2 linked regions of the Rattus norvegicus genome follow. The protein of the gene in region 2 purifies or fractionates together with the protein of the main gene of each other region. This does not show direct contact. Links are inferred from orthologs where the notes say so. Each region holds a gene or a part of one and is shown on either strand. Other genes may lie near its edges.

The links.
Region 1: the proteins of Swsap1 (region 2) and Spidr purify together in Homo sapiens (co-immunoprecipitation; 3 studies listed by BioGRID and IntAct, with this or other methods). This does not show direct contact. The link is inferred for Rattus norvegicus from reciprocal best matches to the Homo sapiens genes SWSAP1 and SPIDR.

The regions. Positions count from the first base shown.
Region 1 is NC_086029.1:98,508,093-98,514,867, forward strand, and holds the start of Spidr (DNA repair-scaffolding protein), read right to left. Parts: upstream 3,638-6,775; 5' UTR 3,603-3,637; coding exon 3,570-3,602; intron 3,526-3,569; exon of another isoform or gene 3,371-3,525; intron 1-3,370. UniProt on the Homo sapiens protein: Plays a role in DNA double-strand break (DBS) repair via homologous recombination (HR).
Region 2 is NC_086026.1:28,759,297-28,765,853, forward strand, and holds Swsap1 (ATPase SWSAP1), read left to right. Parts: upstream 1-3,456; 5' UTR 3,457-3,758; coding exon 3,759-3,773; intron 3,774-4,343; coding exon 4,344-4,937; 3' UTR 4,938-5,985; downstream 5,986-6,557. UniProt on the Homo sapiens protein: ATPase which is preferentially stimulated by single-stranded DNA and is involved in homologous recombination repair (HRR). Has a DNA-binding activity which is independent of its ATPase activity.

The sequences.
Region 1 (6,775 bases), on a different chromosome or scaffold from region 2:
TACTCAGACCCAAAAGGACATCCATGGTATGTACTCACTAATAAGTGGATATTAACCAAAACCTCACAGAATACCCAGGATACAATCCCCAGAACTAAAGATTAACAAGCCAAAGGGCCCAAGTGAAGATGGTCAATCCCACTTGGGAGGGGAAAGAAAGCAATCATGTGGGGCAGAGGAGGGAAGGACCTGGGGAGGAAAAGGGACAGGGAGGGGAGAAGGGGAACATGATCAGGTACTGGGGGGTGGGGGAACAGAAGTGAAGCCCTGAATGCAAACAGGCAACTTCAGAAGGTAGGAGGTGGTGGGACCCTCTAGAATGTACCAGAGACCTGATTGGTGAGAGACACTCAGGACTCAGCTAGGGAACCTTAGATGAAATGCCAAACAGTGGGGAGAGAGAACTTGTAGAGTCCACCTCCACTAGAAAGACAGGACATCAAGTAGAGGGATGGAGATGCCATCCTACAGCCATTATAAAGATCCACCAAACTTCTATCTAAACAGCTTTCTTTCTTCCCTATGCTCCTATTGTCTAAAATTAACCCTATTCTAATAGAACTCAATCCTTCTAGAACAGTGAGAGACTCTTAACTTTCTGATAGCTCCTTCTCTTCTGCCTTCTTGAAAATCAAAAGCCATACTTCAGTTCAAATGAAAGTTCACACTATGTAAATAATGTCTACCAAGTGATAGCCATCGAGCAAGAGGCACTTATCAAAAAGATCTGCTGATGAGAACTGGAAGTGGTGTTGGAGACGGCCTGGCCAGTTTTATGTCAACTTCATACAAGCTATGGATATCCGAGAAGGAACCTCAATTAAGAAAAAAGCCTACATAAGATCAGGCTGTAGGCAAACCTGTCTGGCATTTTCTTAATTAGTGATTAGAGGGGGAAGGCCCAGCCAATTGTGCAAGGTGAGACTCCTAGGCTGTTGGTCCTGGTTTTTATGAGAGTAGGCTGAGCATGCCGTGAGGAGCAAGTCAGTAAGCAGCACTCCTCCATGGCCTCTGGGTCAGATCCTGCCTCTAAGCTCCTGCCCTGCTTAAGTTCCTGTCCTGACTTCTTTTGATGATGCACTGTGATATTTCCATATAAACCTTTCCTCCCAAAGTTGCTTTTGGTCACGGTGTTTCATCACAACAATAGTAATCCTAAGTCAGAAGGTGCCATCAAAAAAAGGTCATGTTCCTTATTGCTCTTATATATAATCTTTAAAAGTCTATCCTTACTCTTTAAATGTGCTCACATTTTACTGTAGGATGCACATCTCACAAGAGTATCATTAGTTTAGAAATATCTCTCTGGCTGTTATTTAGGTTAATAATATCTTGTCAAGACCTCTATGACCAGGAAGTTGAAGAACTGAAGCTGATATTCAAAATTTCTAATCAGGGTATTTCTCCACATTTCTTCACACTAGAACACTTGCAAGTTCATCAGATATTTACTGGTAATGGCGGTTGCTCTAAGCAGCATAAATTGGAGACATCATTCCTAATTGTATTTATTCTACGGAATCAAAAGCATAGACACAAATAATCCCAAATCTAGTCATGAAACTGTTAAGAATGAAACACACAAAATTCCGTCGGTATACAAAAGAAAGCGCCTGAGAATGAGAGGGAAAAGGCAGGCTTTGCTACCTGCAATAAGCAGAAGTGGGGGAGGAGGGGGATTATTTCAAATCAAGAATATGAGCAAACACCAAGTCAAAAAGAACAATAACAACAAGTCTAACTTACCTGAGGATAAATAACAAGAGCTATAAACTTTGGAAAGTGTGAAAGATAGCATGAACACAAAGCAAGATCTGAGAGACGACCTGAGCATAAAATCCTAATTTCTTTTTACTTGACTGCTGTGTATATTGGGCAAATCACTTAACCTCCTGCTAGGAGTCACTTTCATCATCCATAAAATGAGACAAAAAAATATCTTCTTCAAAGGATTGAGAAAAGGATTAAATGAAGCTTGATGTGGTGGCTGGCATTTAGAATCCCAGCAATGGGAAGGTAGAGGTAGGATGAACACTGCAGGTCTCAGGACAGCCTCATCTACATACTAATTTCCAAATCTGCCATAAGCCCTGTTCCCTCCACCAACAGCAAATTAATTAGATAATTAATTAGATACTAGCTAATTAATTAAATGAAAACCAGGTGTGGTGGCATATGCTACTTGTAATCCCAGTAATTGAAATGTAGATCCATAATGATGAGTTCTAGGTCACTAAACAGTGAATTCGGAGCCAGCCTGTGTTATATGAGCCTGATTCACTTGCTGTTGACAAAGTTGTGAGACACCCTACGGAAATTACAAACTGAAACTTACCAACCCCCACCTCAGTGAACTTGGGAGAAGACTCTGGGAAACAACCATAAGGTTAAGCTACACTCAGAATCTTGATAGCCATACTTGTTGAAAGCTGCTTCACTTTTGAAGCAATCTTTACATAACAATTAAGTAGCACAACTACTGAAAAGAAAAACTATTGAAAAATAATAAAATGAAGAGGGCAGAAAGAAATAAAAACAACAGATTTCTAAGTTAGGAAAAATCGTTAGGGCCTGGTAAACTAAACAAATAATTTCATAATACATTGTTTATACAGTTGTGACAGCTAAAATCAATGTAAAAGACTCCAGGGCAAGTTCTTAAAGTTGACAAAAAGCACAGTCAAAATTTGGAGCTGGGCAGTAAGGAAAATTAAATAAGCATCTATGAAGGTGAATTAGGACTTTAGGGACGCTTAAATAAATGTATACTGGTGGCAAGGGTATCGAGGGCTGCAATAATTAATTTATGTTAGATTTAGAAATGTTTTAATTCCTTGGGTTTTTTTTTTCACATTTTAGTCTTTCTGAAATAATTAGTCTTTTAAGTTATACGTGCTTTAACTCCCTAAATCAGCCACAAAGTTCGCAGTGTGGTCTTTCAGGGCTATCTGCGAAATAAGAAAGAATGGTACTGCTAAAGGAATTGAAGCATTTAGTGAAATAAAGAGCAAGCCAAGGTATGAGGCACCGTTTGCTGTTCTAAATTTTAAGTATTACGAAGCAAACATCTGTAAGTGAGAATCTTTGAAAAGGCAAATATCCAAGAGGCACACAATGACGGAGAAATGAAAAGGATCACTTAAACATCCACCCTGTAACAGTTCCTACACTCCGTGCCTACAGTATACAGAGACCGCGGGAGCCACCGGAGAAACACATCCTCTTAGAAAGTTTGGGCGGGAAAGCAAAGTGTAATGAAAGATGCCTAGAGCGAGTCAGAAGAGATTCTCCAATACCCACTACACTCTTAGTGTGTTGAGCAACAGAATAAAACGGAGGCAAGTGAACTGCCAGGCGCCAGCTCACACACTCTTTCCGAAGGTTTCCAGAACCACTCAGCGCAGACCTGGGCAGAGCCAGAGAAACCAGCCCAGTCCGACGAGCCACCAACGGGCTCGGGCCGATCAGACTGGGCGCACCAGCTCCCTTCACGCGACTAGGGGCAGGGGTGAGAAGCCCACGGAGGTTGCGCGCCGGCCCTCTGCTTCCAAAGCAACAGCACGTCGTACCTTGGACACGCCGGGGCGGCGGGTTCCAGACATGTTTAACAAGCACCGTCCGCCCCTCTCACTCTCAGCCCCTTCCGGAAGCCATTCCCTCCCTCCGGAAGCCCCGCCCCCTTACCTCCGAAGGCGCCTCCCCCAGAGCCGCCCCTTCCCGCGCCCCGCCCCTTCCCGCACCCCGCCCCTTGTGAAAGCCCAGTCTCGAGTTCCACAGAATCAAGCTGTAGGGTCTGCTGTTGTAGGCTCATCCTCTCCCTCTGGGGAGCCTGGGAATTTGATCTACAGGTCACCCGCTCTCCCAGCTAAGCAAGACCTTAGAGATGTTCTATTTCAAATTGTGTTTTGTAGAGCAACACTGGGCCATAAAATAAGACCCCCCAAATAAACTAGAATTCAATAATTATTGTAATTAGTAATAAAACATAAGTAAGCCAGGGAAATGAATAGTACTTCCCTACCTAATGAGGAATTCTTAAATATCAAATTCATAAATATCAAGAGCAAAGAGTTTAGCGGATGTGTTATGAAGTAGATTTCACATACTGTAGATCTAAGGAAAAGCCAGAGAGCTTACATTCTTAACTTTCTAGATGCTGGTTCAGAGATTACTTTAATTTGGAAGATGAATTCGTTCTTTGGATGTTTTGGATCTGTTTGGCAGCAGATGGCACTGCAATGTGAGTAGAAACCATAGGTGCTGGGCAACTTCTTTGTGTAACTTCTTGTGCCTTCAGACCTGCTCGGGTCCTGGTCGCATATATACCACTTCCATTTGACTGTAGATTGATGCTGTGCATGCTCTACTTTAAGACTTGGTGGGTCAGATAATAGTAAGCACACGATGGGCAGTTCAAGTCACATACAGATGACAGTAGAGCCTGGCTCCAAAATCTCAATACTCTCTCCTGTGATTCACTCATGGGACCCTGACGAAGGCTCCAAACAGCAGCCCTATCTGCTACTGAGACCTTAAGTACCATTGGTTCTGCTGGGTCATGTGGTCCAGTTGTGGATCAGGCTGCAATGTGGCCTGTATCCATTGAAAAGCCTTCTGTTCCAAGCCCTGCACAAGGCCTGAACTCACAAAGCAGCTTTCTGAGTCACTTTGTATATGGGCTGGAATCAGACCTCAAGTGAGGAATGTGCTGCGTCCAGAATCTAAACGGGCCCACTAAACAGTGTATGTGCCTCTTTCCTGGTGGTGGGAGGGGCCAAGTAATAAGTTATCCTTCCGGGCTGGGGATTTAGCTCAGTGGTAGAGCGCTTACCTAGGAAGCGCAAGGCCCTGGGTTCGGTCCCTAGCTCCGAAAAAAAGAACCAAAAAAAAAAAAAATAATAATAAGTTATCCTTCACCTTAGAAGTAATATCTCTACATGCCCTACTCCGCTGAATTCCTAAGAATTTCACTAAGATATCAGTTAATAACCTTGAATTTTGGTTCGATTTATTTTCCTACCCTATGATGCACATAAGTGTTACCGACAAATCCAGAGTGGCTGCTACCTCCTGCCCACCTGGTTCAATCAGCATAATGTTCAGTATAGTGAGCCAAATGTGTTATTTTGTGTAAAACAATTGGGATTCCTTCTAAGGGGGCTTTAGAGTTAATACATCCTTGAGGTAAAACAGTAACTATACTGTTGGCCTTGTCAGCTGAAAGCAAGTTCCTTCTGGTGGTCCTTATAATCAGGTACCAGGAAAAAAAGGATTTGCTAGAGCAATAGCTGCATACCATGTACCAGGAGAGATGCTCATCTGATCAAGGTAAAGACAGCACATCATCTATGCAGCTACAATCAGAGTCACTACCTGAGTGAAATTTCAATATCCAAGTATCATTCTCCATGATTTATCTGTCTCCTGCATGGGACAGGTAGAAGTGTTAAAGGGAGATGTGGTGGTAACTATGACCCTTGCATCTTTCAAGTTCTTTCTGAAATTCCTCCAGGGGGGCAATACTGTTTTTTAATTCAGTATTTTCCTGGAGTAGAGACAACTCTAAAGTCTTCCCTTGGCCTTTCCAACCATAATAGCCCTTACTTCACAGATCAGGGAACCAATGTGAGAATTCTACCAACTTCTAAGGATGGAGATATATATATATATATATATATATATATATATATATATATATATCACCAAACATACATTCTGAGTCTGGAGAAATAACCACAGGATGAGTTCAGGGACCGGCTCAACCTACTACTGTGAGTCAGACTTCAGCCAAAACTCCATTTATCACCTGACATCCATAAGCCCTTACCTTATCTTGAGGGTCACAAAGTTTCCTAGGATCATGGAGAATCACAGTCAACTCAGAACTAGTAATCTTTAAACCCTGAAAAGTATAATTGATTCCTTTCCCCAGTGTAGAGTTATCCTCATAAAATGACCTGAGAAAAGCTTACAGAAAACTTTTAGGTATTTTATCAAGGTTGTTCCTAGGATAACCTGGCTACCCCTTTATTCAAGGGGTCCTGGGTCTGCCAAATGGATCAAGTCTAGAAATTGTTTCATAAGCAAGACCCCCTTTGCCATGATTTCGTATCACCTTTCTTTCATTTGTTTGAAAACTTTTTTGCTTATACAGATCTAATCAAAATTCAATAGGTTTCTTATCCATTTCATGCTTGGAAACACCATGATTGATTAGCTAGCACTGCATGCCCATATGACTCATGCTAACATAAAATTCTCTTTGCTTGGGCAAGCCATTATGGGTTAGGCTATATATATAATATATATTATATATATTTTTCTGTCTGTCTGTGTCTGTGTCTGTGTCTGTGATTTGTTAGAACCACTTTCAGGCTTCAGTCCATCTTATCCAACAAAAAATAGCTGTGAATGGAACATCCAAGAATCTAGTAGTTTTATTATTTCAAAACTAGCCAGATAACTCAATGACTGGGTGAAGAATTGCCTGTCCTAATCTTATCAACTAACTCTTTCCATCTTCCTTGGCCTCCTCTGGAGGTGAAGGTTACAAACTCTAGTGGCCCCAAGATCTACGTGTCTGGTTCTGCTTCCTTGATCCAAAACCTCATCTGCAAAAGCTTTCTCCTGTCTTCCTCCTCTTCCTCCTGGGACCCGGAAGTCCCACCTTTCCCCGTTTGCCCAGTAATTGGCTTCTGCCTCTTTTATTGACATAATAAAGAACCATTTAGGGAAACTTCTCCCCCTACAAAATTCTCACTTGAATTTTTATCCT
Region 2 (6,557 bases):
CGACCATCTCTAATGAGATCTGATGCCCTCTTCTGGTGTGTCTGAAGACAGCGATGGTGTACTCACATATATAAAATAAATAAATCTTAAAAATTAAAGAAAAAAAAGGGCTGGAGAGATGTCTCAGTGGTTAAGAGCACTGACTGTCACTTACAGGGGTCCTGAGTTCAAATCTCAGCAACGACATAGTGGCTCATGACCATCTATAATGGGATCTGATGCCCTCTTCTGGTGTGTTCACAGTATCTACAGTATGCTCATATACATTTGGAAAAAAATTTAAAAAAAAGAGATGGGCAGTGGTGGTGCACACCTCTAATCCTAGCCCCCAGGGGTCAGAGGCAGGTGCATCTCTGAGCTGACAGAGCAAGTGCCAGGACAGCCAGGGCTACAGAAAGAAGCCCTGCTTAAGAAAAAAGAAATATGGAGTAAAATAAACAGGGAGGGAGGCTGGAGGAGAACAGTGCACTCTGCTCTTGCAGGGGACCTGGATGCAGTCCCCAGCACTCATGGTGGCCCAGTTTTGACTTCTAAGGGCACCAGTCTCATGTGGTACACGTAATACCACATAATGCATGCGGGCAAACTTTTATAGCCATAAAACAAAAAGAAACAAAAAATTAAGTGGGGACAAAAACAAAAAACAAAATAGGGCCAGGGCTGTGTTTAGCTCGGTGTGCAAATGTTCACTTAGCACATGTAGGGCCTTGTGTGCTGAGAGAAAGGGAGGAAGAGCAACCAGCAACCAGCCAGTCAGTCAAACAAACAAACAAACAAATAAACAAACCCAGAGCTAGACAGAGAGAGCCCTTAGAGCCAGCTCTCCAGGGCAAGGAGGAAGACGTGGAAAGGACCTCTGGAGAGTGTGCTCCTGTGACCTGGGGCTTGTGCAATTGCAGTGTCAGGCTGTGTCTGGGGTGGGAGCTGGAGGCTGAAGCACCAGACTTTCTAGAACAGTATAACTGTGCTGAGGGTGTATGTGCGTTTGTAAGCAGAATCCCAATCACATAGTCATCTTAACCTGTGTCCTGGTGTGTGTGTGTGTGTGTGTGTGTGTGTGTGTGTGTGTGTGTGCGCGCGCGCGCACGTGTGTGTGTGCACATGTGTGTGTGCATGTTGTTTGTGTGTGTGGTGTGTGTATGGGGTGTATGTATGTGCATGGTATGTGTGTGTGTATGGTATGTGTGTGTGCAGGGTGTGTATATATGCATGGTGTGTGTGTGTGTGTGCAGGGTGTATGTATGTGCATGGTGTGTGTGTGTGTGTGTGTGTGTGTGTGTATGTGTGTGTGTAGGGTGAAGGTGCCCAGCTGTGTGTGTGGGAGTACTGGGGGATGTTGTGGAGCTGTTTTCTGTCCCCAGAGGGAGAGAGTGAGCTCAGTAAATCACAGTTCCGCCCTGTTCCTGGGTCTCCAGGCAACCGTACCACTTTGAAGTTACTAGGAGACGAGGTTTCCAGGGAAACTCAGGCTTGAATGACAGCTTTAGAGCCAAGTTTGGGTGAAGAGACTGGCTGAGCAATCAGGATCACTCACCTTGGTTCCTCAGTTCTTCCTCCTCCATTCAGTGACTTAACAAGGATCGCACGTCTCCAGTATGGTCATAGACTCTTGTGAATGAAGCCCTTGTTCTCTTATTCTCTCCAATTTCTCTCTCTCTCTCTCTCTCTCTCTCTCTCTCTCTCTCTCTCTCTCTCTCTCCCCCTCCCTCCCTCTCTTCTTCCCTCCCTCCCTCCCTCTCCCTCTCCCTTTTCCTCTACCTCTCCCTCCCCATTCCCAGTCCTGAGAAATGTTCTCTCTTCTGTCAATAAAAGCAAGCATTAAGAAGACCCTAGGGGTTGGGGATTTAGCTCAGTGGTAGAGCGCTTGCCTAGCAAGCGCAAGGCCCTGGGTTCCGTCCCCAGCTCCAAAAAAAAAAAAAAAAAAAAAAAAAAGACCCTAGACCAAAGAGAAAGTTAGATGACAGACCTTGTCAAGAGCCCTCATACAGGGAGCTCGAGAGGGAGCATGGGTCTCGCGCTGCGGCTGTGATGGCCATCGGGTCTGGCACACGCAGCAATGAACAAGACACAGTATTGCAAATGAGATAGAAGGCAAGGACTGACCTCCACACACTCAGGGTGACACAGGCGATCCTGCACACGCCCCCACAAAAAAAGATTAAAAAAAGTAAAACAAAAATCAGGATCAGTGAGATGGCTTAGGGGATTCTGAGCCCTGAAGGTCTGCCATCCAGGGAATATACATGGTGAGGGAGAAAGAACTGAATCCCATCCCGGAACTAGTCCTCAGAGCACATGCACCCTGTGTCATGGGAGTTTCTAGACTGCTTGCTCGGCATGTACAAAACCCTGAATTTCATCCTCAGCCTTGCATGAATTTATCGCGGTGGCATAGGCTAAAATGTCTGGGGCCCTCCTTAAAAAAAAAAAAAAGGCCAAATCTATGAGTCTGTAGCCCGTAAAAACCACCCCCATATTCCAATATGCAGAGACTAGCAGACAGCTATCCCTTTCCACCTGTGAACTTTCCTTCGGTGACCTTAGCAAATCTTCTCACCAACATATTGTAATGATCACATAGAATCACAATATTTATTTTGCAGGTGGGCAAGCTAAGAGTCTGGTTTGTTTTTTTGTTTGTTTTTTTTTCTTTTTTTTGGAGCTGGGGACCGAACCCAGGGCCTTGCGCTTGCTAGGCAAGTGCTCTACCGCTGAACTAAATCCCCAACCCCGAGTCTGATTTTTATTATTAGTGTTTTGTTAAAGATAGGTGCTCATGTAGCTCAGGCTGGTTGCAGACCTCAACATTTGTTGAGGGGACCTACTTTTTTTCTTTTTTAAAAGAGACGGTTTCTGTAGTCTGGTCTTGAACTCAGATCCGCCTGCCTCCACCATTCAAGTGCTAGAATTAAAAGTGCGCCGAGCGGCTTCTACTTTTTTATTTTTAGATTTATTTTTACGTGTGTGTGTGTGTGTGTGTGTGTGTGTGTGTGTGTGTGTGTGTGTGTGTGTGTGTGTGTGTGTTTGTGTGCGCGCGCGCGCACCCGGAGGGCCATTAGAATGTGTGCCACGTGCAGCGGAGGCCAGAAGAGGGCGTCGGATTCCCTCAAACTGTAGTTATGGATGGCTGAGAGTCACCTAGTAGGTAGTGGGAACTGAACGTGGGTCTTTTGGAGAAGCAGCCAGTGCTCGTAACTGAGCCATTCTCTCCAGCTCCGACCGAGAGCCTGAGCGTCTCTGGGGAGCGCATTTGGACCCTCGCTCGACCTTCCTTTTAATGGACCACGCGGCTTCTTGCAGCAGATTCCCTCAAGTACCCATTTCCTCCACTCTCCTTGTTTTGACCATTTGCCGACAGCTCCAGCAACGAACCTAGACAGTGAACTATAGCCAATGAGGCCTCGGTGTGGGCGGGCCCAAGATGAGATCTCGCTTCTGATTGGACAGCGGTACTAAGCAAATGGCGGAGGCGCTGAGGCGGGTACTAAATGCGGGCCGCGCGGCAGGGCCCGGAGAGGATAGCAACCCCGGGCCGCCCTTGCTGTTGCTCGGCGCTCCGCGCTCTGCGCAGACGTCGCTGCTGTTTGCCGCGGCTCTTGAGGCAGCAGGGGAAGGCCGCGGGCCCGTCCTCTTCCTGACGCGAAGGCCTCTTCAGAGCCTGCCTCTCAGTACACCCGCAGCGCGAGACCATTGGCGGCTCCAGGTAACCGGAGGGCTGGACCTGGCTATGCGTCACCCAATGGCGGGCTAGGTTGCTCATGAGTGACAGTTCGGTAGGTAAATGGCAGTGTGGATCGTAGATTTACTGCTAAATCGTCATAAAGTCTATATGGGAGAGGTGGGTGGAAGAAGCGAAGTAGGCACCTGGGACGGGACAGTGCCGGCTTAGTTGAAGATTAAATGAAAGACCGTCCTGCGGTGTTGCTGAGCATGGGTGCCAAGCCAAAAAACAAACAAACAAACAAACAACCCCCCCCCCCAAAAACCACCAACAAAAACATGTGCGAAGCCCTGGGTTCTTTCTATCTCTTTAACCAGACTTAGTAATATATGCCTGGGATTCAGTTCTTAGGAGGTCAGAAGTGTCAGACCAGCCTTGTTCACAAAACGAGTTTGTGATCATCCTGGACTACATAAGATTCTGCATTAAAGAAAATTTTTTTGGGCAGTGATAAGTGCTGGAAAAGGGCGGGTAACAAGGTGAATATTTGAGCTGGTGCTTCATCCTGGAACTTTCCAAATGGACCATGAGAGCCTCGACCAGAAAGTATGGAAGAAGTGAGGTAGCCGTAATAGAGAGTTTTGACCTCCTATATTAAATCTAGCCTTTTCCTATCTTCTAGAAGATTCGATTCCAGTACCCATCCTCAATTCAGGAGCTTCTCCAGCTGCTAGCCTCTGCCCATGAGGCCCCAGCGCCTGTCCCATCCCTTCTACTCCTGGATGGCCTGGAAGAATATTTAGCAGAGGACCCAGGGACACAGGACACCGCCTACTTGGCTGCATTGCTTCTGGATACTGCTGCCTATTTCAGCCACCGGCTTGGAGCCAGTGGCAACTGTGGGCTTGTGGTGGCCCTTGAAACCCAAAAAGAAGCCGATGGTGATGTCCCACATCTGGCATTACTTCAGCGTTATTTTCCTGCACAGTGCCGGCTGCAGCCAGATGCCCTAGGCTTGGGACAGCATTGCTGCCTTCGAGCTAGCCTAGAGACAGGCAAGCTGAGCCCCAGGACAGAGTGGTCAGTGACTTTCTTACCTGGTGGAGAGATGAAGATCACCCCATGGCCTGCCCAGGCTTCTAAGCTCAGCCCAGACCAAAACTGTTCAAGTGCTGGAAGCCAGTCTTTAACTTTGGGGTGTGACAACCTCCCTAGTCCCAGGTTTCCCTTGGATGGAATACTTACCTCAGGGACAGGTGCAGATTCAAAGACCTGAGAATGTAGGTTTCCTGTTTATAAACCAGCATCATTGTTGTTGGGGGCTGGCAAGATGACTTAGGAGGTCAAGGGTCTTGGCCACCAGCGTGATGACTGATTCTCAGGACCCACGTGGTAGAAAGATAGAACGGACTCCTGGAAGTTGTCCTCTCACCTCCACACATGCCCTGCACACTAATAATAATACTAAATTAATAATGAAACCTTTAAGACAAATAAGATCGCTGGAGCCTTCCTCTGTCCACTCACCATTGTTAATGAGATTCAGCCATATTTCCTAGTTCATTTCTTTTTATCTGCTGCATTTTTTACCCAGAATGGCTCTCTCGTAAGTCAGGCTAGTCTCAAACTAGATACGTAGCTGAGGCTGTCCTTGAACTCCTGATCCTCCAGCCTCATCTCTTGAGGGTGGGGCCTATGGTGTATGCTCCTATTCTTGGCTCCTCTTGCACATTCCATGGGTGCCTGTATCCCGGTTACCTCTGTGTGTTGACTTACCGACTGTTAGGGTCTAGTCATACACATGAGCTTACACAGCACTCAGGGTGTGCAGTTGGGAGTGGATTCGTTCCATGTAGAGTATGCATACATCTAGCTTTCTTAGGACATACATTTTTAAAGTCATTTGACGGAAGCTGAGCATCATGGTGTGCAAAATGGTAAGGCCAGCTTTGGGAGGTAGAGGTGGGAGGTCACAAATGCAAGGCTAACCTTGGCTACATAAGGTATTGGAAGCCATGCTGACTTACACTAGATCCTGTCTCCAAAAACCAAAATGGGCCAGGTGTGGTGTGGCACAGGCCTTTAATCCTAGTGCAGAGGCAGGTGGATCTGTGTGTATGTGTTTAAGGCCAGCCTGGTGTATGTGCCAAGTTCCAGGCCAACCAGGGCTACAAGGACAAAAACTAGAGAACTGGAGGGAGAGCTCAGTGGTTAGGAATTCTGTCACCGAGTCAGCTTTGGTTATGCATGTGTCTGAGTCATTTCCCTGAATAATCCCTCACCCATGTTCCTGCATAACTCCAGTAAAACTTTATTGGTTCACCAAATTGGACTTTGGTGGTATGTGTACGTGGGTTTTCTATCTGTCAAGTAGACGTCTGTTCATGTCCCACAGGGGTAGTGTTACCAACCATGGAGAAGGCATTAGGTTTTGGAGCAGCATATATTAGCAGCTAGCGAAATGTACACTGACCATTATAGTCTGTCCTCATATCACCAGATCCAAAATTTCAGTGCTCACTCTTTGTTTCCATGGGCTAGGTCCAGGCAAAGACGGGGTACCCGGAAGGGAGGGTTGTGGTGCAGTCCGCAGTCTTTGTGGCAACCCAAAGGCAGACAGAAGAGACTAACAGAAGCGCACAGGCAGCTGGCCTGAAACAGGAAGTAAGGCAGGAACAAGGTGCTTTCCCTTGAGGTGAGAGGAGAGAATCAACTTCCAGGCATGAACGGAGGCAGACACACAGCCACACTCACATCATATATACACAAATAAGACAAAGTCACAGTAGAAAAATCAATATATATATATTTCTATATACAGACATAACTATCCATCTTAACATTGCAAGGCTGTCACTTCCTGGGCAGAGGGCCAGGGCTTTAAATATGGCCTCAG